Canis lupus familiaris: one gene and its partners. The protein of the gene in region 4 interacts with the protein of the main gene of each other region in a biochemical or structural test. Links are inferred from orthologs where the notes say so. Each region holds a gene or a part of one and is shown on either strand. Other genes may lie near its edges.

The links.
Region 1: the proteins of LRRK1 (region 4) and BAG3 form a complex in vitro, tested with the Homo sapiens proteins (2 studies listed by BioGRID and IntAct, with this or other methods). The link is inferred for Canis lupus familiaris from reciprocal best matches to the Homo sapiens genes LRRK1 and BAG3.
Region 2: the proteins of LRRK1 (region 4) and CHGB form a complex in vitro, tested with the Homo sapiens proteins (2 studies listed by BioGRID and IntAct, with this or other methods). The link is inferred for Canis lupus familiaris from reciprocal best matches to the Homo sapiens genes LRRK1 and CHGB.
Region 3: the proteins of LRRK1 (region 4) and ABL1 form a complex in vitro, tested with the Homo sapiens proteins (2 studies listed by BioGRID and IntAct, with this or other methods). The link is inferred for Canis lupus familiaris from reciprocal best matches to the Homo sapiens genes LRRK1 and ABL1.
Region 5: the proteins of LRRK1 (region 4) and FOXP1 form a complex in vitro, tested with the Homo sapiens proteins (2 studies listed by BioGRID and IntAct, with this or other methods). The link is inferred for Canis lupus familiaris from reciprocal best matches to the Homo sapiens genes LRRK1 and FOXP1.
Region 6: the proteins of LRRK1 (region 4) and CLVS1 form a complex in vitro, tested with the Homo sapiens proteins (2 studies listed by BioGRID and IntAct, with this or other methods). The link is inferred for Canis lupus familiaris from reciprocal best matches to the Homo sapiens genes LRRK1 and CLVS1.
Region 7: the proteins of LRRK1 (region 4) and GAK form a complex in vitro, tested with the Homo sapiens proteins (2 studies listed by BioGRID and IntAct, with this or other methods). The link is inferred for Canis lupus familiaris from reciprocal best matches to the Homo sapiens genes LRRK1 and GAK.

What each region holds. Positions count from the first base shown.
Region 1 is NC_049249.1:30,090,939-30,095,014, reverse strand, and holds the start of BAG3 (BAG family molecular chaperone regulator 3), read right to left. Parts: upstream 2,801-4,076; 5' UTR 2,414-2,800; coding exon 2,228-2,413; intron 1-2,227. UniProt on the Homo sapiens protein: Co-chaperone and adapter protein that connects different classes of molecular chaperones including heat shock proteins 70 (HSP70s), e.g. HSPA1A/HSP70 or HSPA8/HSC70, and small heat shock proteins (sHSPs), e.g. HSPB8.
Region 2 is NC_049245.1:16,376,505-16,380,713, forward strand, and holds the start of CHGB (secretogranin-1), read right to left. Parts: upstream 2,801-4,209; 5' UTR 2,603-2,800; coding exon 2,554-2,602; intron 1-2,553. UniProt on the Homo sapiens protein: Secretogranin-1 is a neuroendocrine secretory granule protein, which may be the precursor for other biologically active peptides.
Region 3 is NC_049230.1:53,214,157-53,217,656, forward strand, and holds part of ABL1 (tyrosine-protein kinase ABL1), read right to left. Parts: intron 2,449-3,500; coding exon 2,359-2,448; intron 2,020-2,358; coding exon 1,855-2,019; intron 1-1,854. UniProt on the Homo sapiens protein: Non-receptor tyrosine-protein kinase that plays a role in many key processes linked to cell growth and survival such as cytoskeleton remodeling in response to extracellular stimuli, cell motility and adhesion, receptor endocytosis, autophagy, DNA damage response and apoptosis.
Region 4 is NC_049224.1:40,487,969-40,491,944, forward strand, and holds the start of LRRK1 (leucine-rich repeat serine/threonine-protein kinase 1), read right to left. Parts: upstream 2,801-3,976; 5' UTR 2,784-2,800; intron 1-2,783.
Region 5 is NC_049241.1:21,134,844-21,138,343, reverse strand, and holds part of FOXP1 (forkhead box protein P1), read right to left. Parts: intron 1,725-3,500; coding exon 1,523-1,724; intron 1,419-1,522; coding exon 1,339-1,418; intron 741-1,338; coding exon 639-740; intron 1-638. UniProt on the Homo sapiens protein: Transcriptional repressor. Can act with CTBP1 to synergistically repress transcription but CTPBP1 is not essential. Plays an important role in the specification and differentiation of lung epithelium.
Region 6 is NC_049250.1:12,131,746-12,135,884, reverse strand, and holds the start of CLVS1 (clavesin-1), read right to left. Parts: upstream 2,801-4,139; 5' UTR 2,622-2,800; intron 1-2,621.
Region 7 is NC_049224.1:92,182,215-92,186,355, reverse strand, and holds the start of GAK (cyclin-G-associated kinase), read right to left. Parts: upstream 2,801-4,141; 5' UTR 2,739-2,800; coding exon 2,546-2,738; exon of another isoform or gene 2,542-2,545; intron 2,364-2,541; exon of another isoform or gene 2,116-2,363; intron 228-2,115; exon of another isoform or gene 213-227; coding exon of another isoform or gene 164-212; intron 1-163. UniProt on the Homo sapiens protein: Associates with cyclin G and CDK5. Seems to act as an auxilin homolog that is involved in the uncoating of clathrin-coated vesicles by Hsc70 in non-neuronal cells. Expression oscillates slightly during the cell cycle, peaking at G1.

The DNA of each region.
Region 1 (4,076 bases), on a different chromosome or scaffold from region 4:
ACAAGGATGTTCAGAGGGTCCACTTAGCTCAGCTCCTCCAAAACTGCCCTTTGTTTCATTCCAGGGCCCTTTTTCATTACACAGTAGGAAGCCAATTTCTAATATAAAACAATACTGAAGGATTTTCCTTCCTATTTGGTCTGGAGGAAGGTTGTAATTCACACAAGTGAAACTGAATCAGTCACCCAGAGGTTCTGCATGTATCAGAGCACAGGTATGAAAGCAATGAAGCCCAAAGAGCCAATGAACTGGACGTGTGTTCTCTCCTTGAGTTTTGCGCCCTGCTGATAAACCTCAAGTAGTTAAACTGGTAGAGAACTCATTTCTTGAGTTGCCACATCCAGTCATCACCATCTAAGTAATCACAGCACAGACAGCAACCAACCAGTTCTTGGTGGCTGGGAGGGCACATCCCAGCCTGCACACTTCGCAGTTTCACAAAAATTCAAGACGCCTCTACCTTCTTCTGAGTAGATACCCCGCCTCTTATCAGGACCTTCTGGTGCAGTTCTTTTTGCTAGAGTACCGGCTGAGTGACCTCTGGAAACACACTTAACTGTCTGTCTCGGTTTCTTTCTCGGTAAAAGAAAGAGGTTGAGATAAAAGATCTTCATGGGCCTTTCAACTTCAAAATTTCTAACTTGATTTTCAAGTCCACTTTTCTGGTGTCAGATTTCTGATTTAGTGGCTGTTTTCTCTATTTGTCGAGAATCATAGTAACTCAACCTGGTTTTTTCTGACCCTTTAAAAAGGTTTATGAAACCACAGCCTAACCAATCCACTGGATGGGTACACAAAGATCTCAACTTGCTGGGTGAGTCTTATTCTAAAAACAAAGTGTTGGCAATCTGGGTTTAGGCTGCGCTTACAGTGGCTATGTTCAAACTTGACCTTCACTCACAACAAAGGGTGCTGGCAGATTCTGACTGTCCCTGTCTCCATAGGAAGGAGACCTCAAAATGATAGTTTTACACCACACGTAAGATTTACATCCATGCAGACTGCAGTATTTCACCCAATAATGGGCTGAGCAGATACACAAAAAAAAGTATATATAATTATGCCCATCCTGGCTACTTACATACTCTTGGACTAATTTTCAGATAAAAACATACAATTAATTTCTCATAAATGTAAGTTGCCGAATGTTCAACAAACATCTTACTGTTGGGCACCAAACTTTCATCAATATTTTTAACTTAAAAATGCATAGAAATAAAATGGAAGATACAAGCATCTCTTGTAAAATGATGATTTATAAACCACCTCTAATTTTGTGAATTTTTAAATCTTCGAAACAAATGACTAACTCTTCATGGCTTTTTAAAACTTCTGCCCAGATAGCATAACATTACCCTTCCCTTAAGCGTCTATTTGCCTCGCCTTTTATTCCGAAAAAGTTCAAATTCATAGAAAATTAGAAGAGCAGCACAGTTGGTTGTAACCTTTTAAGTTAACAGACGGATTCCAAATTCCTATTTCCAAATTTTCATGCTCTTAAGGGTTCAGCACATAACTTTGCAAATCCGTAAGTGAGGCACACGTCTGCTGCATTCACAGAATTACTTCTGAATTAGTTATTTGTGTATCAGCCACAAATCTTACGTATTTTAATACCATAACAAGGAAGGGAATGTATGCCACTAGGAAAAAAAACAAAAACAAAAACAAACAAAAAAACATTCTGTCTCCTGCCAGTGGGAGGCAACGTCCTAAGGCAATGGTCAACCACTCAACCACGAGACAGTCTCCCATCTTTTAGTTTAGAAACTGCCTGGGAGAAGAACATCTTGTTTTCAACAAATCGGAGCAGAATTTATTCTCATTGAAAAGCGTTTCAAAGAGTAATAGAATTTTAACTGCAGATGCAAAAAAAGGGAGGGGGGGGGATGTAGTCACATCGGCTCCCTGAGTCACTCTGTGCCCGAGACGACTGAAGTCAAGATGCCCCTCGACCGAGTAGAGGGGCTTCAGGAGGCAGAGCTCCTGCGAGGCCCCCACCCCCGCCCCGGCGGAACCGGGGCCTCAGTCCCCGCGGCCGGGCCTCCGGAGCTCAGCGGGCCGCCCTCGGCCCCTCGGAGCCCCCGGGAAGCGGAGGCGGCCCTGGGAGGAGCTCGGCCGCGTCCCCCCCGCCGGGGCTCGCCGGGGCTCGCCGGGGCTCGCCGGGGCGCAGCAGGCCGGCAGGTGCGCCCGGGCCCGCACCCCGCCGTCGGGGGCCGCCGCTCACCTTGGGGCCCTCGGGGGGCACGCGCGGGTCGTTCCACGTCGTGGTGCGGCTGTTGTGGTCCACGAAGAAGGGCCAGCCGGTCTGCGGGTCGATCTTGATCTCCCAGCCGGGCGGCAGCGGGTCGCGGTCGCCGGCGCCGTTGCCGGACGCCATCTGCACCACGGGCGAGTGGGCGGCAGCGCTCATGCCGGGCCGGGGCCGGGCCGGGGTCGGGTCCGGGTCGCGGGGGCCGGGGCCGGGTCGCGGGGTCCGGGTCGCGGGGGCCGGGTCGCGGGGGCCGGGTCGCGGGGGGCCGGGCCTCTAGACGCCGAGGCGCTCGCCGGCCGCTGCGGGGTCGAGAGCGGTGCGCGCCGCCGACGTGTCCGGGAAGCCGGCGCCGGGCACCTTTATGAATTAAAGGAGGGGGTGACGTGGCCCGAGAGGGGTGGAAGTGTCTGGAAATAGCCTCCTCGCTGCCAACCGGGAAGGAGATAAAGGGAGGTAGCAACTGGCCGGCTAGAAACTTCTGGTCCCATCCAGAGAAGTTGGCGGCGAGCGGGTTGGATGCGGAGCTCCGCCCTGAGTCATCGGCTATAATCGGGGCGGGGCGGGGCGGGGCGGGGCGGGCCGGGGCGGGGCCTCGGGGGGCGCCCTGCCCCTCCTCCCTCCTCCTCCTCCCCCTCCCCTCCCTCCTCCTCCTCCCCCTCCCCTCCCTCTTCTCCCCTCCCTCTTCTCCCCTCCCTCCTCCTCCTCCCCCTCCCCTCCCTCTTCCCCCCTCCCTCCTCCCCCCTCCCCTCCCACCTCCCCCCTCCCCTCCCTCTTTTCCCCCTCCCTCTCCTCCCCCTCCCCCTCCCCGCCCTCTCCTCCCCCTCCCCGCCCTCCTCCTCCTCCCCCTCCCTTCCCTCTTCTCCCCTCCCTCCTCCTCTTCCCTCCCCTCTCTCTTCTCCCCTCCCTCCTCCTCTTCCCCTCCCCTCCCTCTTCTCCCCTCCCTCTTCTCCCCTCTCTCTTCTCCCCTCCCTCCTCCTCTTCCCCTCCCCTCCCTCTTCTCCCCTCCCTCTCCTCCCCCTCCCCCTCCCCGCCCTCCTCCCCGCCCTCCTCTCCCCTCCCCCCTCCCGCGCGGGGCCGCGACTGGCCGGCGGGCCTGGCCGCCTGCGGGGCGTCGTCGGTGTGCGCGGGGCGGGTTTCGGTTTTCAGACTCCCTCCCTCGGCTTGGAGCGCAGTGGGTGTTCCCTGGCCTGGGACTCGGGCGCGGGGTGCCTGCTGCCGCTCCTTCCTATAAAAACGAAGTCATCGCGAGCCTTTAAAGTCGTTGCTTTTCACCTAAAGCCTCGCCACTCCCCCCCTTTGCTCCCTTATGAACAAGATCCTCGGGGACACTGGCGTCCCTCAAGTATGTTTTAATCACTTTTCCCCCCCCCAAAGGCCTAAGGAGCTCCCGGAATGTTGATGTGACACCATAACAAAGCCAGGGAGAAAATGCAAGTGCAAATAGAAACTCACCTGCCTTCTTTTCGGAGCCTAAAAAAAGATTGCGTCAGCCCTGGTTTTATGACCCTCAACCTCGCATCTCAGATATACAAACTATCTCATTGCACTGGACAACTTTAAAGACAAATCACCTTTTTTGGGGGTTTGGATCTTTTTTAGGGTACAGGTTCGTTCTTGCTATCTTAAATCTTGACCTTCACTTGGAAGGTAGGGACCAAAGCCAGTCGTGAAAAATTGTTGTTTGGTTGATTCAAGGGGTGGTTGTACTTGTAACCTAAACCAAGCAATTCCGTGAAAGAGCCTGTGGCCCCCGAGGGAGAATTTGTGGGGAGGTTCCATTTCAGATTCTTAGGCAGGCAGATTCATTCCCTTCCCCAGAAAT
Region 2 (4,209 bases), on a different chromosome or scaffold from region 4:
ACCTAGGTGGCTCAGCGGTTGAGAGTCTGCCTTTGGTTCAGGCCCTGATCCCCCGTTTGGGGATCGAGTCCTGCATTGCGCTCCCTGTGAAAGGCCTGCTTCTCCCTCTGCCTGTCTCTGCCTCTCTCTGTGTATCTCTCATGAATAAATAAATAAAATCCTTAAAAAATAATTGAACAAATTTTTTTAAATGTGAAATCAGTGTTTTTATTAACTACTAACATTGCCAAAGTATTAATAGTCATCAGATTTGGGCAGACAGAAATATTTTTCTTTATCGCTCTAAATAATTTATAGCTCATGTTTGTTATTGCAGGACAGTCCTGTTTCTCTGACTGAGATTTTTTCAGACCTGTTTTTGATGGAAAGGAACTAAGGTCTCCTTATAAAAGTGCATTATGCATCTCAGTGAGACATTTAAGTTCTGTATTTCTTCCAACTGAATCTGTGACAGCAAAGTACTAGCCAAAGACACATTAAATCCCCAAAAGTAGTTTAACTTATTTTTGTATAAAGTAAGATTCAGGAGGCACCAAAGAAAACCCAAGGATTCTAAAAGTGAAATAGTCAGGCGGTAGAAAATCTTCAAATTATATTGTATGATAAACCTGAAAATAATTTCTGAAGTATTATATACCACAAGACTATCAAACTAAGGTTTGATTCCAGAATAAAAATATAGCTATAATTTAAAAAATTAAGCAACCTCATCTGGGCAGAAACTACTTTACCCTGTACAATATGGGTGTCACATAACTACTTCACTCATATTAAATTTTTAGAGTGCCCAGTAGCTATTATAGAAAGGTATGGATTTCCCTTCAGAAGCTCTTCAGGGTAGGAAATGAGCCAGATGGTTTCCTGAGGTTTTCTTCAGTCTTGTGATTTTGCTAGATAATAAACTTTGCTTGACGGCTACCATGTTTCATTTCCAGGCATTTGTGAAGACAGAAATGGGGAATGACTGCTAATGGGCATAGGTGTTTCTTTCTGGGCTAATGAAAAACTTCTGACATTTGATAGTGATTACAGAATCTGTGAATCTAAATTATGCACTTTAAAAGTTTTATGGTGTGTGAATTACAGTTCAATAGTTTTTTAAAGAATATAATATCTATTTTAGCCGATATTAAAATATGAGCCCTTCTTAAAATATTCTCTTGCATAAAGGATCTCTAAATGTTCTGCCACTATATTAAGTAAGTCTCACAAATGACACTGTCTTGCAGTCTAAAGCACAATGTATAGCTGTAGCATTTTAAGTGATTTCTTTCTGAAAATATTTTTGACCGGAAAGGACTCTAAATATTCATTTAGTTTTCTTTAAGAACACTTATAGGCAATTTATAAGTTACAAGAATGTTAGAAATTTCTGAATGTATGTGGCTTGCAAGAAAATAAATTACCACTGGCTTTCATTTTGTGTCTTTACATTTGGGAATCTAGCAATTGCTGTCAATGAAAGCTTCATATTCATGGATGGCAATACTTCAGTTCCAGTTAGGAGTCTCAATCTCAGATAAGAACAATATCCTATGAGGTTATTAAAACAGCCACCGAAAATCTCCAGTTTAATCTGGTGATAGCATACATACTTCTCAGTGGTCTAGTGATTTTACTTCAATGCACACACACACACACACACACACACACACATTTTTTCAAATCTCCAGAGATAATTTCTTCAAGATTCAGAGTAGTTTGAAAGATTAGTCCTACAATCTTCCATACATAAAGAGATACTGTCAAATATCTACTACTTAAAATTTCTTTCTCCCAATTGACTAAAAAGATTTTTTTTTACTTCTTCAAGGATATCTTTGTGGTTATTTTATCCTTGTTATTTTCTTGAAGTACAAAAGTCAAAATATCTACTGCAATTTCCATTAATAACTTAAAAATGGATGGATTTGGGTATGAGATTACCTCTTCTCAGAAATGGAACTATAAAATACCCCCCAAAATGACATTAAACTTGTACATACATATACATGAACACACACACATAGATGAATATGTTAAGAAAAAGATATGATATCTTAAATACATACGAGACTTACTTTCATCTCCTCATGTTTAAATAATAATAATAAGGGAAATTATATCCCAGGTGCCAACTAATACAAGTACTCCTGTGTCTCCGTAGTTCCCTGGCTTTAAAAAAACCGAACAGATACTTAATTCCAGTTACATATTAAGGTTTTGGGAGCATCTCTTTAGACAGGTAGAGAAGGCAGAGAGCGTGACATTTTACAAGTAAGCACAAAATGTGGGGTTTCCTTGGAGGCACAGGCACGTTTCTATCTACAGAAAAACTCAAATATGAAAAAAACTGAGACTCTTCTGGTTGGGCTAGGAAGCCCTCTGGCTTTTTCCAAGTCAGACGATGAAGCAGAGAGTTTCGGGAATTAATCATCTCAAGCAAGAAGGAGAAATCTTCCACCCAACCCTTCCTCTCCCCCAGTATCTATCTACAAGCCTACGGTCCCCAGCGGCCGAGAGAACGCGGCAAGCGCTGTCCGCGGTGCTGATCAGCCCGCGGAGCCCACTCACCGGCCACCACTGCAGCTCCCAGGAGGCAGAGAAACACTGCAGGCTGCATGGCTCCGCTTGCCCGAATCTGCACGAAGAGGATGGCGGCTGGACCTGTGAGTGAGATGCGGGCAGAAGGCAAGATAAAGATGCTCCGGGAAAGCAGCTGTGTGTCCAGGTCCCCGCGGTGTGGCGCGGTTGGCGCAGGACCCGCTCTTTTAAAGGGCAAGCCGAGCCGGGCCCGCAGGGCCAGGAGGGGTGGGAACCCACCCAGGAGGCGGCGCCCCCTCGCTCAGCACTGACGTCACGACCCCCACCCCCACCCCCACCCCCCCGCGGGCCTCGGCGCAAGTAGAAGGAAATTTACGCCAGTTCAGTGTCCTGGGTGCTTGGGGTCTGGAGCGGGGCTGGGGAGTAAGGCGGGCGTAGGAATGAAAGGGTGAGGAGAGAGTGCAAATGTGACGCGAGAGGAGAGACGCAGGTCCCTCTTAGATTGCCCAAGCTTGGTCATCTTGGTCCATCCCACCTCCAAACCTGAAAACGTGTGTTTGAGGTTGTGTATGGTATGCGGTTTTGTTGAGAATGTGTCTAGGGCTAAGTCTGTTTTGTGTCTTTACTGCCCAGCGGAGGATAAGACTCCTGCTAACTGAAGAGGACTACATGGTGGGGGGACGTGGCAAAAGAAATAAGGGCTTTAAAAGCAAAAGATGCAGCTGGAAAATATGAAGCCTGCTGTTCCTTCACATTTTTAGTTTTAAATCTGTCTACCTACCCATTATTCTGTGTCTACCTACCTACCTACCTACCTATGTACTATTTGTGATTCTCTGTCTTTCTCTCCCTCTGAACACATAACATAGGGTTTAATATAAATGTCTCCCTTCTACCTCTATTTCCCCAGGTTCCCTAATTATCCTCTGCAGAGTCTATACTACTTAACCACTTTCTGTTGTTTAGCATTAATTTATTTTGAAACATACACAGCTTTATCTTTTTTTTTTTGAATGGCTGCATTATATTACATTGACTGTATTAGCTAGAATTTATTTAACTAGTCCCCTTTCTGATGGACATTTATTTAGGTAGTCACCCTTTGGCCTTTAATTACTCCTTTATAACAGAGGCCTAGGGACAGGAGTGGGTAATGAAATACTAGAGTCTACTGCTTGTAGACTCTAGTCTAGTACATCCCATAAGCACTGTGCATCCTTTCTCGCTTTAAAAACAAAATAGGAAGGTATTTCATTATTATGTGCGAGAAGAAGGTGAAAACATCTTCCAGGATATTTTTTAAATGAGTTCTTTCGGCCTAATGAGGAATCAGGAAAAAGAAGCAGGCAAATGAAACACCAAATGAAACAATCCAGAATCTTCTCTGATAACACAGGCTTTGGGCAATAGAGTGAACCTTCATTTGAGGTTTTTTTTTTTTTTTAGGGAAGGCAGATGTCTGCATGCACAGCTAACGGAAGTTTCAGTGTCTTTTTTCCTGAAAATCAATGACGCTCAAATTCTTTATGCATGCACTACATCTTGAAAAGCTGGGAATGATTTCCCTGAGACCATGGCCACAGAATATTTAAAAGAATAGTCCTGAAAAGGATATTAGTGGGACAACTGGTAGAATTTGAATAAGATCTGTAGATTGCATGATAAATATTGTATCAATATTAATTT
Region 3 (3,500 bases), on a different chromosome or scaffold from region 4:
AGACCTGGGATCGAATCCCACGTCGGGCTCCTGGTGCATGGAGCCTGCTTCTCCCTCTGCCTGTGTCTCTGCCTCTCTCTCTCTCTCTGTGTGACTATCATAAATAAATAAAAAATTAAAAAAAAAAATACTTCTAGGAAAGGTACAGGACAGCAGCACAGAAAGCCTGGGCAACCCAGCCCCTCATCCCTGTACTGAGGCTTCCTTGACAGCACAGAGCCCTCCAATACCACTATCTGGAGTGTAAAAACCACCACAGGGCTGAGCAAAGGGTCAGGCCCTGTGCCTTTCGGGCCTGCCAATTGAGATTCCTAGGAGGTAAGGTCCAAAGGGAAGGGGTTGTGCACCACAGTGACAATAGGCTATTATGCTTGGCAAACAAGAAAGAGTGACCTTTACAAATTTTTAAATGGGCATTCTTTATGTATGAATAATAGCTCCTAAGAAATCTTTCTGGTGTTGCCAAGCTCCCGGCTTAGTGAATGATAGACTTCTCCCTCAGAGGGCAGCTGTGAGGAGAGTAGTTTTCTATCAGCACCCAGAGCAGCCTAGGGCATGTCTACACCCGGAGCAGAGGTACAATGGGGCATCTATCAGAACATCAGACAGCATGCAGGCCACCTGACTCAGGGGAAGCTGAGGACCTCCAAAACTTTAATCCAGGAGAAAAAGTTGAAGAACGCGAAATTCTAATGAATTATGCACGGCTCTATTTCAGCGCTGAACAGCTAATTGACACTCTGGGCTCACCATGAGATTACGTATCAAAATGAATACTGACGGGCATAAATGAACATGATTGCTTATCACTGGGCTTTTAATCAGCCTGAGGTTCCCACAGGGGCCTCTCCCCATCCCCACTGCTCAACTACCTGAAATCATGACAACGAACAGAAGGACAAAGGTCTGAGCTTCTGGAGACTATATGCCATGGACTCCACAAAGTGAGTGAGCAAGACGATCCAGGGGGCTATAAAAGGAAGCCCTATAATTTGGATTTACTTCTTAATGTAAATCTTCTAGGTATACATTTTTGGTATGTTTTATAATACACATGTCTGTGCAATAGTACGTATGTATACATAGTCTGCACATGTGACTTTTTTCTATTATGGGTGCACACACAAAAAAAAAATTGGTAATCCTGCGATGGCTAAACATCTCATTATTCTGGCTTCCCACCCACTCATCTGTGGTCTATCAGAGCATCCCCGAGGAGCCTCCATGAACCCAGATTTCCGGGGTCCTGGGGAGAGAATAACAATACCTCAGAGCAGCCTAACAAAGAGACCATGGCACACAGGAGGAGCTAGGTCAGTGTTTTCGGGGATTACCCCTCCTAGCACCTTGGAATCCCATGCACCACTCCCACCTCCCCAACTCATCTAGGGAACAGTGGCCAAGAGATTCTTCTTTCAGAGACCACATGTGGACACCAGCTCTGTGCCACGGGCGTTTCCTGGCTCCGTTGAGTTCCAGTGAGTTTTTCATATCAGTGCTTTCACAACAAGCTGCTCTTCGTTTGGTTCAATATTTATTATTGTTCTATCTGCCCTGCAAGAGCAGCCACAAATGTTGTGAATAATACATGAAAAGGTGGGTTTGTTCTCAGTCGGTTTCATAAGCACCTGTGCCTACCTGACCAAACTAACCGCTGAAGCCAATGGTTCCTGATGATTCCCAGAAGGAGAGGCCAGATGTGGTGGGGAGAGAACCTTCCTTTTTTCAAAGCTGGATTACTAACAAGGAGTTTGCCTGCCCTTCTGTGCAGGTGCACTCACCGCTTCCCCATCTGCTTACACTGGCCTGAGGGTGTAGCCTCCTTTGGGTATCTGGTGGGGCTGGGGGACATACCAGTCTCTCCTGGGCCCTTGGTGTGGGGCGTCTCAGGCACATCAGTGGGGTCTTTATGTTCTGCAGCTCTCCTGGAGGTTCTTGTCTTGGTGGGTAGCTCTGGGGCCTGCAGCAAAGTACTTGCAACCCCTCGTACACCTTTTTTCCCCAGTTCCTTTTCCACTTCTAAGAACAAAACCAAAACCAAAAATCAACAGCCATCAGTAAAGGTATCAGTTTAATATGCTGGCATTCTTTTTTTTCCCCCTCAGATAAGAGTGGTCATCTGTGCACAGTCACAGAAAAGAGAAACAGGCCGAGAAAACCACACTCAGTATTTTTTAGAATTGTGCATGGCTGCAAGACAACTCCACATTCAACACCTCTGCTCAGGTGACTCACTGGCCTGGGTTCTTCTAGCAGGAAGTGAACTAAAGGGCCAGGGCTGGAGTCCTTCCCGGCTCTCCCTTCTATCCCAACCTCTCACTCTACTGCAGGCAATCCCAGGAATAATGGGCACTTTACCATCTGATATGCTGGATTCCTGGAACATTGTTTCAAAGGCTTGGTGGATTTCAGCAAAGGAGGGCCGGTCAGAGGGATTCCACTGCCAACCTGGATGGATGAGACCCAGTCACACCATGCATGAGGCCCTGCTAATAAGTGGGGTGGCTAGCAAGGAAAGTCTGGTAATGAAAGAGGCACCCGAGGGGTGGGTGGGTGGCTTAGTCGGTTAACTGTCTGCCTTCGGCTCAGGTTATGACCCCAGGTTCCTGGGATCCAGCCCCACATTGGGCTCCCTGCTCAGAGGGGAGCCTGCTTCTCCCTCTACTCTCTGTCCCTCCTCCACCCCCCACTTGTGTGCATCCTCTCTCTCAAATCTTAAAAAAAAAAAAAAAGTACCCCAATCCTGCTAACCATCTTTTGCTGTGACAAGTTAAAGTGACAAATGTCACTGTGTCCTATTACAGACATTAAGAATTCACAAAGGCTTTAGATATTGGCAGGAATATGGATTGTAAAGCCCCAGAGACGTGACAGCAAGAACTACATTTATAAATCTTTTCCCCAGCCCCACTCTGGTCAAATGGCTTGCCTTCTATTTTACCCTTACTTCCGGGTTATCAAAGTCTGAAATCCTCATCAATAAAGAAATGTTAATTAAAACAATATTAACGTGAGGATTTTTTTTTTTAAGTAGGCTCCTTGTGGAGGCAGCTCGGGTGGCTCAGAGGTTTAGCGCCGCCTTCAGCCCAGGGCGTGATACTGGAGACACAGGATCGAATCCTGTGTTGGGCTCCCTGCGGGGGGCCTGCTTCTCCCTCTGCCTGTGTCTCTCATGAATAAATAAATAAAACCTTTAAAAAAAAAAAAAAAGGGCAGCCCGGGTGGCTCAGCCGTTTAGCGCCGCCTTCAGCCCAGGGCCAGATCCTGGAGACCCAGGATCGAGTCCCACATCAGGCTCTCTGTGGGGGGCCTGCTTCTCCCTCTGCCTGTGTCTCTGTCTCTCTCATGAATAAATAAATAAAATCTTAAAAATAAATTAATTAATTAAAAAAAAATAAAATAGGCTCCATGCCCAGTGTGGATCCCAATACGACACTTGAACTCATGTCCTGGAGATCAAGACCTGAGTGGAGATCAAGAGTCAGATGGTTAAACAACTG
Region 4 (3,976 bases):
TCTGCTTTCAAACGTCTTAAAATCAGCTACCACATCTACCCAGTACCACCTCAAAAAATCCAAATGCTAGTAGACTTGCCTTCTGAAAACAGAAGTGTCTTACCATAGAGTGCTTTTAAGTTTTTTTTTTTTTTTTAAATCTTTAAAATATTTTAGGCCAACCCTCGGCCAGCACATTTTGTTCCCCTTTTCATTTTCAGTTTCCTTTTGAAAATCTCTTTACCGATGGAGGATTTTACCACTGGCACAGTTTTTCAACTGTAATTTGTATGTTGGCTTAGACTCTAAGGTAGAAGGTTTAAAATGAGGTAACTCAACTTTTGCTCAATCTTTGCCCTCAAACGGATCTTTGCTTCTTCCTGCTTCTTTTGGGCTCAGACCAATGCAACAAATCATGGTTGTAAGTTACATGTCTTCCTTTCATTGTGGTGCATACAGCCTTAAGAGGACTTCAAGAGGTTTTCTGTAATAATTTTAATACTTTTTAAAACCTCACCAATTTTTCATTGCTCCTTATACGTGCAGTAATGAATAAAACTGAATGCTTAATCAAAAAGAGAAAAGGGGAAGCTGACATTCATCCCGCAAATGTTTTTATTGGGCCCTTTCTATGAGGAGTGAACTCCATGTGTTCATGAAACTTAAAGCTGGTGGGAAGGCACAGTTAAGTAAGTGCTTGCCACAAAATTTCTGACTGAGGAGAAATAGAGGAGACCCTGGACCTGCTTACTTGTCTTTTCAGGAGGCTTGGAAAGGATTGTCAGTACCAAAGAGCTAGAAGACACTTGCAAATGAGCACGTCAGCTCAGATAATCCAGTAATTCTTTTTAGTGAAAGCATGGTAGAGATGGTTGGCCCATAGTCCTTGACAATCCTTTGGCACTACTAGCCTCCTCTGACCACATACCGGCTTGCCTACAGAATGTGTGTAATGGATTCATGGACTTCAAAATATCAAGGGGCTGCGGACCAGAGAAATGTGTAGATCTCAGTCCTAGATGAACACCCAAAGGTCTGGGAACAGAAGCCCTTCATGAGTCTGAAACCACAAACAAGTTAAGACTGTCCATTCGCCATTCAATCTGTATGCCAGGGTGTACTGGGCACCTCTCAGACAGTTCTGGGCGTGAAGACGCAGCAGTGAGCCATGCTGGTGCCTAGGAATGGTCTCTGACCCCTGGAGCTCCAGGAGAGTGCCAGGCAATTAAAGAAGAGAGCAAATAGATGAAGAGGGACCATAATACCAGTGGAGACTGCAAAAGACAGCAAGGGTGGGGGGGGGGCGGATGTGAGAAAGAGGCTGGGCTTACAGGGGGTGGCTGGCAGTATGAGGAGTCAGGGGTCAGCATGTAGAGGCCATATGCTGAAGAGCCAGCTGGACCATGGTGGCTGGTGGGGTGGGGTGGGGTAGAGGGTGGCATGAGCAATGGCCAGGTGGTTGATGATGCCAGACTCCATATCAACTGAGGGGAAGGAGGTGTCCTGGGTTTCATGCCAATCACAAGGAGAAATTATGGCAGGGTTCTAAGCAGAGGATTGACACATTCTGATTTACCTATTAAAAAAAAACACACGCACAGACTCTCTGGCTGTCACATAAAGAATTGGAGAGGGGAGGATTGTAATCACGCAGGAAACAAATGCTGGTACCTTGGACTAAGGTGGAGACAATGAGAAAGAAAGGTTGGACTCAGCCAGACACATAGGTAAGCCCAACAGAACTTGCTGATGGTTCACAGAATTCAAGGGATGAGGGTATGGGATAGAGGAAAGGCGAACAAGTGAGCTGACTATGGGCTCATTCCCTGACCCCAAAACCTCCTTTAGGGACAAATCAGATGTGAGATTTTTGTTTTTAATTTTTTTTTTTTAATTCTTCAGGGACGGAAGCAAAGATAATTAGAGTCAAATCACAAAAAGCATTTCATGTTAATGTCGTCCCAAATGGCACCTCTTCTAGTTGTCCCTTTAATGTCTGGGTACTTTGTTACCAAGTTGAGGGGCCGGCACCCTCTAGAAAGAGTGTATTCACTGAGAGCCTTGCTGAAGCCTTCGCCACAGGCTGCTGTTTTCTCTGCCTCTCCGACCCCTGCTGATGTGTTCCGGGAGAAAGCTTCCAGGCCTCCAAACGGGCAGGGGCAGGTTGAGCGGGCCAGAGGTCCCCACGCTCTCCCTCGCCACCTCCCCCGGCCCCCCACCTAACCGGGCTCCCCTCTTGGCCCCTTCGCGGACCTGTCGCGTGTCTGCGGAGGAGGGTGGCGGAGACGGCGGATTCCCCCGCAGCGGCGGGAGCGCAGGAGCCCGGCCAGCCCCAGCCCCAGCCCCAGCCCCAGCCCCAGCCCCAGCCCCAGCCCGGCGGGAGGTGCGGGCGCTGCTCCCCGGCACACACGCACGCACACTCGCCCGCACGCTGCGCGCTCGCGCTCACACCCGGCTCACACCCGGCTCACACCCGGCCCGCGCCGGCCCGAAGCAAGGAGCCTTCTCCAGGGGCGGAGGAGACCGTGGTCGCCCGGCCGCGGCTCGGCCTCACTGGTGCTTCTCGCGCCTTCTCCCGGCCGCGGCCCGCGCGGGGTTTCGGGGTGGCCCTCCGGGGCCCGCCGCCTCCCCCACTCCGCGGGGCCGGGGCCGGGGCCGGGGCCGGGGCCTGGGGTCCCCCGCGCCCTCGGTGCCCCCCTCCCCGGGCCACCTGGGCGGAGCACGCGGCCGTCCGGGCGCCGAGGGGGCTGCGGGGGTCCCGGGCGGGGCGGGGCGCGGCGCGGCGCGGGCGGACGGGCGCTTACCTGCGGCGGCGGCGGCGGCGGGGGCGGGCCGGGGCGGCGGGGCGTGGGCCGGGGCCGGGGCCGGGGCCGGGGCGCCGGGGACGCGGGGCTGGGCGCGCGGACCGAGGCCTGGCCGTCCCCTGCCCTCCGCCCCCTGCGCCTCCGGCCGCGCGCGCGGGGGCCGGGCCGGGCCCAGACGCACTTCCTCAATCCTGCGGCCCGCGGGCTGGCGGGGAGCGAGCGCGGGCGAGGGGGGGCTGGCGCGGCGCTGCCGGCGAGCTGCACGCGGGCGCCTCAGTTTCCCCAGCCGGAACGCGGAGGTGCCCCGACGCCGCGCCCCGGAGGCCCGTGAGCCCTCGCAGCGCGCGGACCCCGCCGGGTCTGGGGGCCCTGCCTTCTCCTGTCGGGGCGGGCGCAGCCGCAAGATTGGTCGGTTCTCTGCTCAACGCAGCGTCGTCCACCGTCCCCGGGCTCCGGAGCAAAACCCAAGGGCTAACCTCGGACTTGTATGGGTTAGGCAGGGCCTCGCAGTGACTGTACTCTGACCTACACCTCTGTGCAGGGCAGGATAGAAATAGGTATTTTCTAGCTTTAGAGTTTGGCAAACGGTGCCCCTTCCGTCACAAGAATTTAATTGGGGCTGAATATAGAAAGATGTCACTGTTGGGTGAATCATTTTAAATTCTGCGGGGAGTAGATAAAACATGCTGGAATGTTGGCCATTTATTATGTCTCGACCCGATATGTATGTTCATCACCCGACGGAGACCATTATCCGACGGCATCACAGAGACGCAGGGACGTGCAGCAGGCATCAGACCTGGCTCCGCGTGCCAACCACAGGAAGACAAGCCGGCCCAGTAAGAAGCAGATGGTTCCACAGCCCGGCAGGACCCGCAGCCTAGGCTAGACCTCTCCTGCGCTGCGACTGGAAGGCTCCTGGGACTTTAGCGCAAGTCAGAGACTCGCCACCACCCTCACTGCCATTTCACAAACGCCAGGCAGACGCAGGGCCCCCGCACGACCTCAAGGACACTCTGAGCAGTGGCCCCTTGGCAAGGGCACCACGGGGCAGCTTCGCTTTGCTCCCAAGAGGCTGCGCCTTTAGCTCGCCGGCCACGGAACGCCCTTTGCAAAAGGGTGGGTGCGGTTTTGCAATCCTGTCCTCAATATTTTGGTCCTAATTCCAGTATTCAAAAAGCAGCAATGTGATT
Region 5 (3,500 bases), on a different chromosome or scaffold from region 4:
GAAGTTAGATAATTTTCTTTTCCAGAGTATCTATGAATCTCTGACAGACAGTGCAACATAAAAAACCAAAAACAAAAACCCAAAATAAAACCAAAAACTTAATAATATATTGTGCTTTCCTGTGCTAACTCCCAAATACAGGGCTAGTCCTGAGACCACACAACTTCCTTTACTAATTATGGTAAGGAGGTTTTTTATTTATTTATTTTTTTAATCCAACTAATGAAAGTTATGTCCAGTTTGTCTGATTATTTCTCCAGTTAAAAAAAGTTAGCCATGCATCTCAGCAAATACTGGTGGTGGCTAACAACCGATAAGCATGAGGTCTGTGTAAATAAGAGGATAACTTTCATATTGGGATGACAGTATCATGCGTTCCTTTTCCCTACGTATTTTAACTGGACAGAAATGATTTCACTGGCTGGTCTATCCAAAATCTGATGTCAATGTAATGGGAGTCTTCTATCCCAGCATTTTAACCCCAATAGTACTATTTTCTTAATAAAATACTCCCATAAATTTGACTCCTTGAGTGTATAGAAACAACACACATTGAACTTACAATACCTCCATTTTATCAACAACAAACTCTTAAATGGCAAGACCCAAGCTTTAAACAGGCCTGTGAGAAAGCTTACCTTCCACGTGGCAGCATTGCGTCGAAAGTAAGCAAACATTCGTGTGAACCAGTTATAGATTTCATTTAGTGTTAGCTGCTTTTCTGGAGATTCGAGAATGGCCTATAGAAGCAAAAGTAACAAAAGAAGATAATTTATGACCAAATCAGCAGAATTGTCATTATAGTTTCTTGAAAGTATAAAATAAGCATGATTCAGAGCTAGAGCCCAAGAAAGGTTTCACGAAATGATCTAAGATTAATGGTTGTATTTAACAGTTCAATAGCAAAATTCAAAATGGAATTATCTAATTGTTTTGAGTTTTTATTTCTGTTTCCGTACAGAAATATTAATTTATTAGTCATTCATAAAGCAGAATCAAAGAGAAATGCAAAACATTTCACTAGCTGATTAAAGCTCAGTAATTATTTAGAGCTCAGATTAATTCTAGGGATCAGAGATTACTGTAGCTTGTGATAATTGACTTGCCATCTTTAAACAGGCTCATTTTCACTGTTGTGTGAAATGAATTTCCTAATAATCACATCGTATTGTAATACTTAATCAAAAGCAATTATGTTATATATTGCAGTTTTAAAAAACCTTATAGAAAAGGTTTTAGCATGCTTGCATACTAAACGGTTTTAAATCTACTTCATCAATATATCCATGTACACGTATACCTTTTGATATAATTTCACATACTGTGTTATTTACTTACCTGCCTAATTAAAGATGCATATGTAAATGGTGGTCTAACTTCTGCGTTCTTATAAAATTCTTGGTTCTGCGCAATATCTGCTAAATAAGAATCATTGTCCTATTAATTATCATTTTTAAAAAGAGGCTGGTCTACAAGAATTGCCTATTACAGTTCTGCATAAGGCAAAAATGGGAGTATCTACCTGAAGAAATGGGCACGTTGTATTTGTCTGAGTACCGCCTGCGGATGGGTCCCACCGTATGCATGCTGGTGGTGGTGATGACGGAGGGGCCTTGGGTGACGGGAGTGATGGGGGCGGTTGGGGTCGTTGGAGTATGAGGTAAGCTCTGTGGAGAAGCCTCAGATGCAGACTTGGAGAGTGTGACACTTGATACCAGATTCAGCTGTGAGGAAAAGAAGAATTCTTAGAAGAGCTTCAGAAAAACAGTGAGTAAGCAGGCATCTGAAATCCAGCAGGAATAATGCAGGGGACACCCGGCTAGTTTTACTTCTGTAAGTAGATGCTTATAATTGACTGAAATAGGAGATGAGTTCTCATGTAAAAACAGTTTACATAGTAGTTAGTTCAAAATCTCTCTGGCCATGTTCTCCTGACCTGTTGGGGACACAGGAGTCTTCCAAAGACAGTGGAAAATGAGTGGAGAATGCAGAAAGGGGTGACCTGGCGCAGTGAAGCTTGACAAGATTTGGATCAAAACATTTCTTGAGTCATGACTTCAAACCCTCCTGGGCTGCCTACTGTGCTTGCCAAACCTCAAGGAAGGTGACAGAGTCCTGGTAGCACCAGTGAATACCAACACTGTAGAAGCCATCAGTTGGGATACATTGCTCCAGACCTGAGCTCTCCAACAGCACTTTGTCAATTGTGCTAGCCAGTACGGAACTGTTTTTACTTTTTATCAGAGTTAAACTTTTGTTTAAATAGCCACATGTAGTCAGTGACTGCCACGCTGGCCAGCACAGGGCTAGGCTACTTAACCCCATAAAGAAACTTCACCAATGGGAGCCAACAGGGATACTCGGCCTATGACTGCTACTAAAATCAGTGGCACTGGGGCACCTGGGTGGCTCAGTTGGTTGAGCATCCAGCCCTGCACTGCGCTCTGTGCTCAGCGTGGAGTCTGCTGGAGTCTCTCTCTGAGCCCTGCCCACCCCCCCCCCCTCTCAAATAAATAAATCTTAAAAAAGAGTCTCTCTCTGAGCCCTGCCCCCCCCCCCACTCTCTCTCTCAAATAAATAAATCTTAAAAAAGAGTGGCACTGATCCAATAAGACGTCATGGGGTTATATCAGTTGGCAAAGACTAATCTTTGAAAGCTTAATGTATAATCTTCATTAAACCAAATAGAGGACTGGACTCTATTTTAAAAAATGACATATGAAACACATTGGGAACTGTAAAAATTATTTTTTTCTTCGAGTTTCAAATGCTCAGTAATATAATGGAATTAAGAGAGGAAATGAGTAGTATTTATTTAAAATCATATGAAGGAAAATGAAGGAGTAAGGTTTCCTTCCATTAAACCTTCACCTTGAAGTGCTTCTCTTATTAATACTGAAAAAATGGGCCTGTTCCCCTTACCCTGAATTTGTCCTTCCAGAAATACTAAGTCTGGCTATACTACAGAACTTGGCCATTTACAACATATTATTACAATTTACACAGAATTGGTTATCTCAGATACTTATAGCCGGCCAAGTAAACCTAGGCAAGTAGGTTTATTTGGTAACATGTTCTCAAACCTGATTTTCGATCATTTAACAAAGTAAGTATTTCACTATTGCAGTAGCCCTATGGATAAGGCGTTACTTATGGAAAGTATTCAAAATGGGACTCTTCTGGGATCATAAAGAGGACATTAAAAGTTCCAGTTTGTTGAGAAGATTCAACTCTACTCATACTCTAGTAATGAAAAAGGCCATGAGAATGCCTCTCATATGTTTAGGGTAGTTCCATTAAAAATAATAATAAAATAAAAACAAGGAATTCGAAGAAAAGAAAGATCAAATATTGTTAGGTAAATATTAATGGAGAAAATGTAAACATGGTCCTGCAAAGGGAATGGTGGATTGAAAGCCTGTAGTTGTGCTTTCCTTTTTAACTCCCCTGGTGAAATGCTGACTCAGTTAATGCCAGGCCTTTCCCCCAGCCCCCATGTG
Region 6 (4,139 bases), on a different chromosome or scaffold from region 4:
CTTCATATTTTATATACTCATTTTGCTGTGTTACCTCCTGTCTCAGTCACCATATAATGGGAAAGAAGAGAAAATCCAAGTCTGAATCCATTAACTAAGGATGACTCTGCTTTGAGGAAGTGTGTAAAGTCACGAATAGACTTTGCAGGGTTAATAAGGTGCTCTTTGGTAAAGCTTGCAAAAGTGAGCAGACACCACTAGTTCTGAAGAGTTCCTGATTCTTCCTTTTGGGAGATAAAAATTTACCAGTTTTACACTCCATGATTCTGAAGGAATATGCCCCTCTGGGAACATGTTTACAAAAGTGTATAATACCACTCTGATGGAAAATATGTTTTTGATTCACCTTTAAATCCATTATAAAAATGCGAAAGTCATGTTAATGAAAATTTGGAAAAAGTAAAATAGCCCTTAATAGAAAAGACAATAGAAGAAGAAGCCAGGATAGTAGCACTCTATAAAAATTAATAAGCCTATCATAATATTTCATCAAAGAAAGTCATCACTTCTGAGACAGATGCCTGTAAATCTCACCAAAGCAGCATTGTTTTGAAATTTTCCCCAACCTCAGAAAATTGTATTTAGCATAGGAAGACGGCAGCATTGGAGACAGTGGATTCCTGGCCTGGGTTTCTGGTTTGAAGCAGCTAGAACTGGCAACATGTACACTTTAAAAAATTATCTGGGATGAACCACTATTTGCAAGCAGATAAGGGAATATTAAGAATCTTGTTTCTTTGGGACTTGAGGGGTCTTGTGAACATTACCAACCTAAGGATGGTACATATGAGCAAATTTTCTTCTTCTCTAAAAACCATTTCACTAGATACTTTCACTAGTTTTCTCAGTTTGAGTTCAAAAGTGAGTGAATTTTAGAGGCAAATCGAATTATGCCAATGTTTATGTAATTAATAGCAGTAAGTAACTTTTGAAAAAATGCAACTATCACTCATTCCAGAAGAGTATTTGGTGTAAATTTTTCTTCAAAACTTTTTTCAGGAGCTACTTGTTCATGACTGTTTTTTTATTTCTGACAAAATTAGTGAGCCAGTTTAGACAAAACTTGCTTTACTGACTCTTTTTCTTTTTAAGGAAGTAGAATAAATGTACAAGAGTGAATTTTAAATGAGGCTTTTCTGTGCTCTGGTTTAAACTTGTTACATGTGACCTGACACCATTCTTCTATGAAAATGTGATTCATCTCATTTTTAATTAAGATGTTAATTTTATGAAAAAAAAAAAGCAACCCACACCACCCACCCAACACTTTGCTGTTCAGTAATGATTAATTAAATGGTTACTCATTGAAATATTTTTATTTATGACAAGCTCAGGTACTTATTTTCTGATGTTTGTCAGCTCTTATAAAATAGATGATCCTGGATAAATTAAAGAGGTGCTATGACTTGGGTTTGGACCTTCAAGATATTTGAAAGATGTTCCAACTTCCCTTCAGCTAAGATAGAAAATGATGGCACTCTAAAACAGAGCCTCGCAGAACACAGTTATATAAAATGCTTTTTCAATTTTTGCACTCTATTACCCTTTACTATTATGGGAAAATGGTGTTATCGCCTGATTACTGAGAAAGCACACAAAAATCTCGCTTTCCAAATCCGAGTCAGTCCTTGACTAGTGATGAACAAAGACAGGCCATCTGCTCTGAATATCATTACTACTTTGGCCTTTTGGGCAAGGGGTCTATCCTCTCTCCTTCAAGGAGAGGTTTAAGATTGGGAAAATTGAAATAAGTAGACAGGAAGAGACATTTGAGCAAATAGCACTTTCCAGTGAGAGCCACATTTGTTAGGTCACCAATCACCAATATTTTAATTTTTACTCTGGCTACAGAGTTAATCTTTGGGTTCTTCATTTTACAAAACATTTCAGTAAAAAACTTAATTCCAGAGTTTCTGTAATAAACGCTTAGGAAGGAAAATTGGCATGTGTGGGTGAATATGAGTCATCAGTCACCCCCACCCTGCTTCCTGGTGATTCTCCATTGGAAAACCAGAAACATGGATTGAGCTTACATATCTCTTTTACCGGAATAACGCTACACCCCAGGCCATGTTAATTTCCTGAACTACACAGCCCCTAATCTGCTGAAAGGCAGCTGGCTAACTGCTGGTGTCTGGCAAGTGCCCCATCTGTCCCCCTGCCCTGGGTCTCTCCGTGTCCTGGCTTCACTTTCCCTTTCTCTCAAGCAGGCGTCTCTTTGTTTTCAAGGGTGTCGTCCACCTGAACTTTCCTTCCTGTGCCTGAAAACTTGGGTTCTTTTGCTCAACCCTGCGGACCTCGGGCTTTGTCTAAGTGACAAGACACAGTTGTGTGGACTGTAGTCACGGCGCTGGTGATGGTGGAGAGCATGACGGTGATGGTGGAGAGATGGGGGTGCTGATGGTGTGAGGGAGCGCAGGCTGAGCGGGCGCCGGGAGCAGGAGGATGGACCGCGGAGGCGTGGAAAGTGGGGTGCGGAGGGATGGAGAGCGGAGGGATTGCGGATGGGAGCTGTCCGCGCACCCGAGTGCTGAATCGCCGCAGCCATGGCATCGCACGAGCTGGGGGGAAAGGCGGGGAGGCGCTGCAAATACAGAAGGTAGAAAAGAGGCAACAAATACCTTCACACAGCCGCTCAGCCTTGCTTTAGGAATGTGTTTCTGCAGGTGTCCTCGTTGCTGAGCTGAGTGGGTGAGATCCCCTATTCTGGCAGGTTCGGGCTCAGATTTCTCTAGAAAGCTGTGAATGAGAGCCCCGGCTCCACGGGGCTGTGATTTTGGTAGGAGGCGTGTGCGCCGGAGACTCGGTCCTTCTATACCCAGCCTGGCTTTCCCCTGGGTCCTAAAGGCCTCCTCACCGCTGCTCTTCCCGTTCCATCAAGACAATACCAAGAATTAGTGTGATTTTGTAACATTCGGGGCAAAGAGTACCCGAACCGTCACTCCTCAGCCCCACCAACTACCACCAATCTTAAAACCAGAATCTTTCAAACAGATCAATGCAGCCCCTGAAACAGACCCGTGTGCGTGTGAGTGTGCGTGCGTGTGTGTGTGTGTGTGTGTGTGTGTAAATTTAACAAATGAAAAAGAAAGTATCACAGACCTAGGGGGGAAAGCAAGGATTATTTTATTAACAAAAGGTCGTGAGAAAATGAACAATTTGGAAAAGTCTCAAATTAAGCCTCATTGCACCAAAATTAAATATGCAGAGATTAAAGGACTAAATAAAAAAGTAAAATTATTTTTAAAAACAAACTAGAAGAACATATGAAATATTTTACTGATAGAGGAGCTTTTTTAAGCTTTTTTAAGAGGAACAGAAGCAACCACCGCACCCAAAGATCAATAAGATCGAATGCATAAAAATACTTTCAAGTGCAAAAATATTGAAAGGATAAATATAAATGACTATTTGGAAAAATTTCAACAACTATATCTTTCATATGGAAAATATCTCATATATCAAAAGAAAAACACTAATGGCTTAAGAGGAAACAGGAGAAAGAGCAAGTTACAAAGAATTCCCACTAAGGAAAGGTGGATGCATAATAAATATATTTTAAAAAATCAACCTCACCAATAAATAGATATATACATAATTTAAAATGGCACCAAGGTGCAGTTTTGGTGGATGTTTTAAGTCTACTTAATGTCTCAGAATGTTATAATAGTATCAATACTACAATAATAGTAAGAAAATGTAATCTTTGTATAGGTCTATTTTGAAACATACATCAAGTATCATAAAATACACATGCATATAGACTAAGTGATTCCACTTTATGCATCTTCTGCTGAGGATATAATCAAGTATGCAAATAAAGATTTATGTACATTAATTTATAATCATAAAGTTTGTCAAAAATAATAAAAACATTAAAATTATATATAGCCTATAGTATTTGCAGCTATTAAAAACATATTTTTGAAAACTGTTAATAACAAAGAAAAATGCTCAGAAAATGGTAAAGAAAAGTAAGATACCAAATACATTAATCTCCTCTTGCCCCAAATATCAAGTTGGTACATTCATAGGGTAGCATGATGAAACTATAGGTAAATTTGTTTTCTATCAAGTTGGACAATTTTATTTTCTTCCTTGTATTTATTTAAAGTTTCCATAGTTAATAAAAAAAGAAA
Region 7 (4,141 bases), about 52 Mb from region 4:
GTGGCCTCCCCCATGATGTCCTGCTCCAAGCACCTGCATACTGACACACAGAAGCTGGAGAAGTTACGCGTGCCTGATACTGCTGCCAACTGAGGCACAGACCAAGAAGGAGTGGTACAGCCTTGGTGCTCAGCTCCCATCCTGGCTCCCGGGCAACACTCACTTGTGGAAGCTCCACCAACAGGTGCACTGCCACTTGCTTCTTTCACCATGACATCCTCAGGACACACTCTACTGGGGGACCTGCACCACCATGTGGGTGACACAAGATACCCCCAGCATATCGCTCACTGGCTCGCATGTCTGGCCAGCTATTGATGGCCCTTCCGTCAGCCACTGTCAGGATCACAGACCACGGGAAGCACCAGGGGCTGCGCCTGCCAAACAGTCAGAACTCCACCAATGTTGTGCTGGTTATCATCGCTATTTTGTACTAGGCGTCAGGCATGATGGGTAAGAGGCTGATGTTCAGGTGACCAAGGTGCAAACGTAGAGGACGCGGTTAGGAGAGCTAAGGGAGGGCAATTAGACGCAAGACTGAACCACCGCTGTGAATACCAGAACCAGCTGTCCACGATGCAGCCCCCCCCAGCAAAGACCTTGGTATTCTGTGCTCTGGGGTGTCTGGAGAAAAGATCCTCCCTGGGTGAGAGCAGTCACAGTAGTCCAGAGGAAGGATACTCAGAACAAGACCACCAAACCACAGGGCTGAGGGCTCAGGCCCACTTCCTGTGTGAAAAGAACTGTGTGCTATATGCTACCCTATCAGTGAGCGACAACTGCCCCACTGTCTTTTTAAATCAACTTTAAAAAATGTACTACACTGGGGATCCCTGGGTGGCGCAGCGGTTTAGCGCCTGCCTTTGGCTCAGGGCGCGATCCTGGAGCCCCGGGATCGAGTCCCAAGTCGGGCTCCTGGTGCATGGAGCCTGCTTCTCCCTCTGCCTATGTCTCTGCCTCTCTCTCTCTCTCTCTCTCTCTGTGACTATCGTAAATAAATAAAAAATCAAAAATAAATAAATAAATAAACAAAAATTAAAACGTACTACACTGTGTATCCCTATAGAGGATGTCCTGACAACCTATGATCCTGTTCCTTCACACCAATCCCAGTGGTTCCTGAAACCTCCAGCCCAGAGTCCTACCGCACAACTCTGCGACTGCCCGTCAACACCAAATGGCCCCTGTGCCCTCTCCAAGGCCAGCACGACAAGACAGGCAGTCTCTCTAAAAGCAGAGACCAGGAGGCAGAGGGGTGGAGGGCAAGGCAGCAGCTGGCCCGGAGTTAGTGTGCAGTCTGCCATCCCTGGCCCCAGAGAGAACACCAAGGACCCACATTAGGTTCATCAGAAGCCACTGACACCACACATGGCCCACAGTGTTCCAGCACACACACAACTCGTTACCCGACAATCACAGGACAGCCCTGAGGACTTGTTCCACCTTCTGAAGAGCTGCCCACACGCCACCTCATCCACACTGCTAGCAGGGTGGCCAGAGTCAAACAATCACTAGTGAGGTGGACTCCTGTCACGTGGCAAAACCCTCGTCTTGGCAGAGCGATCACCTGTCATCTGGACGGTAGGAAGCAAGCAAGAGCGCACAAAATCCAGAACTAGGAAACATTAAGAACGTATCCTAGGATCTGCTTAGACTGAGCATCTCTGACATTGGAATTACTTCCAAAAAACTTGGTTTTCCTTTTAAATGAAAGCTTAAAACCAATTTTCAAAGGATTGGGATGCTATCAGGATCCCACAACCCATTTCATGCTACCGATGAAAAATGATGCTTTTTCCCCTAAACCATCTGAAAGCAGAATCTGGTCCACCATAAACTCATCTGGGGGCAACACGTGACATGAACTGAGGGGGGTGGGGCTCTTTAAAGGCTTAATTACCCTACAGTAAAGACACTCGCTCACTGAATTGGGGACGTATGATTTATCTGGTTATTAAACCCCTTCCCAACTCCTGTAGGAATATCCCGGGATACACAGGGTGTTGCACTCTTGATCTTTCTGAAACCCGAAGAATTCTGAAGTCGTCAACGTCTTTTCCCGAGGGTTTTGGGTTCGGAGCCTTCCCCGCCGTTACAGGAGACAGCACGCGCTCCGACGGCCTCGCTTGCGGGGCTGCGGCTTTCCCTGAAAGGCTTCCTGTGGGTTTCCGACCGTTCCAGTTCAGTAAGAGGCCGCACCAGCCTGAAAGGCCACGAGGCTCCGGCCACGTCTGTAAAGAGGAAACCTCCGGCCCTAATCGCGCCGCAGGTATTTTTATCTCCCGGCCTGCCCAGAGCGCAAAGGGAGTGCGTTCTTTTGCACCACCGTGTGGGCCGGTCCCATTTCCTCGTTCCTCTTCCTGGTGAGCCTCCCGCTCCGCTCCACACGGCCCACCCGTCCTCCTGCCCTCCTGCCCTCCTGCCCGAGGCGGGCATCCTCCCCGCGGCCCGGCCCGCCCCGGCGCCCGGACTGCGCCGCCCTCCCGTCGCTGGGGCGTTGGGGCGTGCGTCTAACTCCAGGTTCCGGAGGGCAAAATCCACCTACTGTCCACCGTGAATCTCGTATTAAAAACCCGGCACAAGTGTTCGGTGTTGTCGGAGCACAGGCCCCGACGGCGGCGACGGCTGCAGCGCCCCGGGGCGGCCGACAGCATCCGGGCGTCAGCGGCCCCCGCCTCTGCGTACCGGATCGCACCCAAACCTGCGCTCTTCACCCCGGCCTTGGGGGAAACACGCATATGGGAACGCTGCAGCCGGACACCCCGCGGGCCTCCGGGCGCGGCCGCCGGGACGCTCGCCGGCCCGCGGCCCCACACGCGGCAGGAGCCCGAGGCCCGGGCTGGTCAGGCGGGCGCCCCCGCACCTTGCAAGGGAATCCCGAGGGGGCCGGCGGCGGCGCCAGGAGCGGGGGCGCGGGGCAGCGGGGCCGGCGTCACCCCGGGGCTCCCGGACGCCGCCGCGGACGCGCACTGGGCGGCGGGCGGCGGGCGGCGGGCGGGGGAGGCCGCGGGCCCGGCCCTGCGCCCCCCGCCCACCTCCCGGGAGCGCGGGACCCCCCCGCCCCGCCCCGCCCCCCCGCCCGCGCCTCACCCTCCGCCAGGACCCGCCGCACCCGCAGCCGCAGCTCGCCCAGCTCCACCGTCTGCCCCACGAAGTCGCTCTGGTCGCGGCCGGCGGCGCCGCCCAGGGAGCCCGGGCCCGCCAGGAAGTCCAGCGCAGACTGCAGCAGCGACATGGCTGCGGCCCGCGGCGGGCGCCCGAGCGGGGAGCCCGGGGCCAGCTGCGTCCCGGCGCGCTCAGCAACCGCCGGCCCGGAGCCGCACCATCTTCCGCCCCGACGCCCTGACGTAGGCCCGCGGGGGCGCGGCGCAGCCCGGAAGAGCGCCGGCGCCTTACTTCCGCCGCGCCGGGCCGGTGCGCGTGCGCCGGGAGGGTGCTCGAGCGCGGAGCCGGGGCCGCCCAGCGCGCCTGCGCCGGGAGGGTGCGCCTGCGCGGCGCCGGGGCCGCCGACTGCGCCTGCTCGGCGCCGCGGCTCCGGGGACGGCTTCCGGTCGTCGCGCTCCGGGCGGCCGCGGCAGGGAGCGGGCAGGCGGAGAGAGGCCTGGCTCCGGGTCGGCGCCCGCTGTCCCCCAGGCGGCCGTGCCCGCGGACGCTCCCCGTGCGGCTGCTCCGCGGCCGTGCGCCACGCCCCCGGCTCGGTGTGCGGGGCAGCGTGAGGGCTCGCGTGTCCCGGGAGCCGGAGAAACCGAGCACAGCGCGGGCTGCGGCCGCCGGAGGGGCGGATCCAGAGCCCCGACGCCGGGTGGCGCGATCAGCAGCCCTCGGGTAAGACGTTCCCCGCTGAGAACACGCGCTCCCCGGGGCCGCCTCTCGGCCCGGGCCGGGGGGCGGGGGAGCCGCGGCGTTCCAGCCCCGGGGACGGGGACGGGGACGGGGTGCAGCCGGTGTGTCCCCGTGTGCAGGGTCAGGGCGCGGGAACCAGTCCTGGAGGCACAGGTGTGTCCCCATGTGCAGGGTCAGGGCGCAGGAACCAGGCCGGGCTGGCACAGTGTGTCCCCGTGTGCAGGGTCAGGGCGCGGGAACCAGTCCTGGAGGCACAGGTGTGTCCCCGTGTGCAGGGTCAGGGCACAGGAACCAGGCC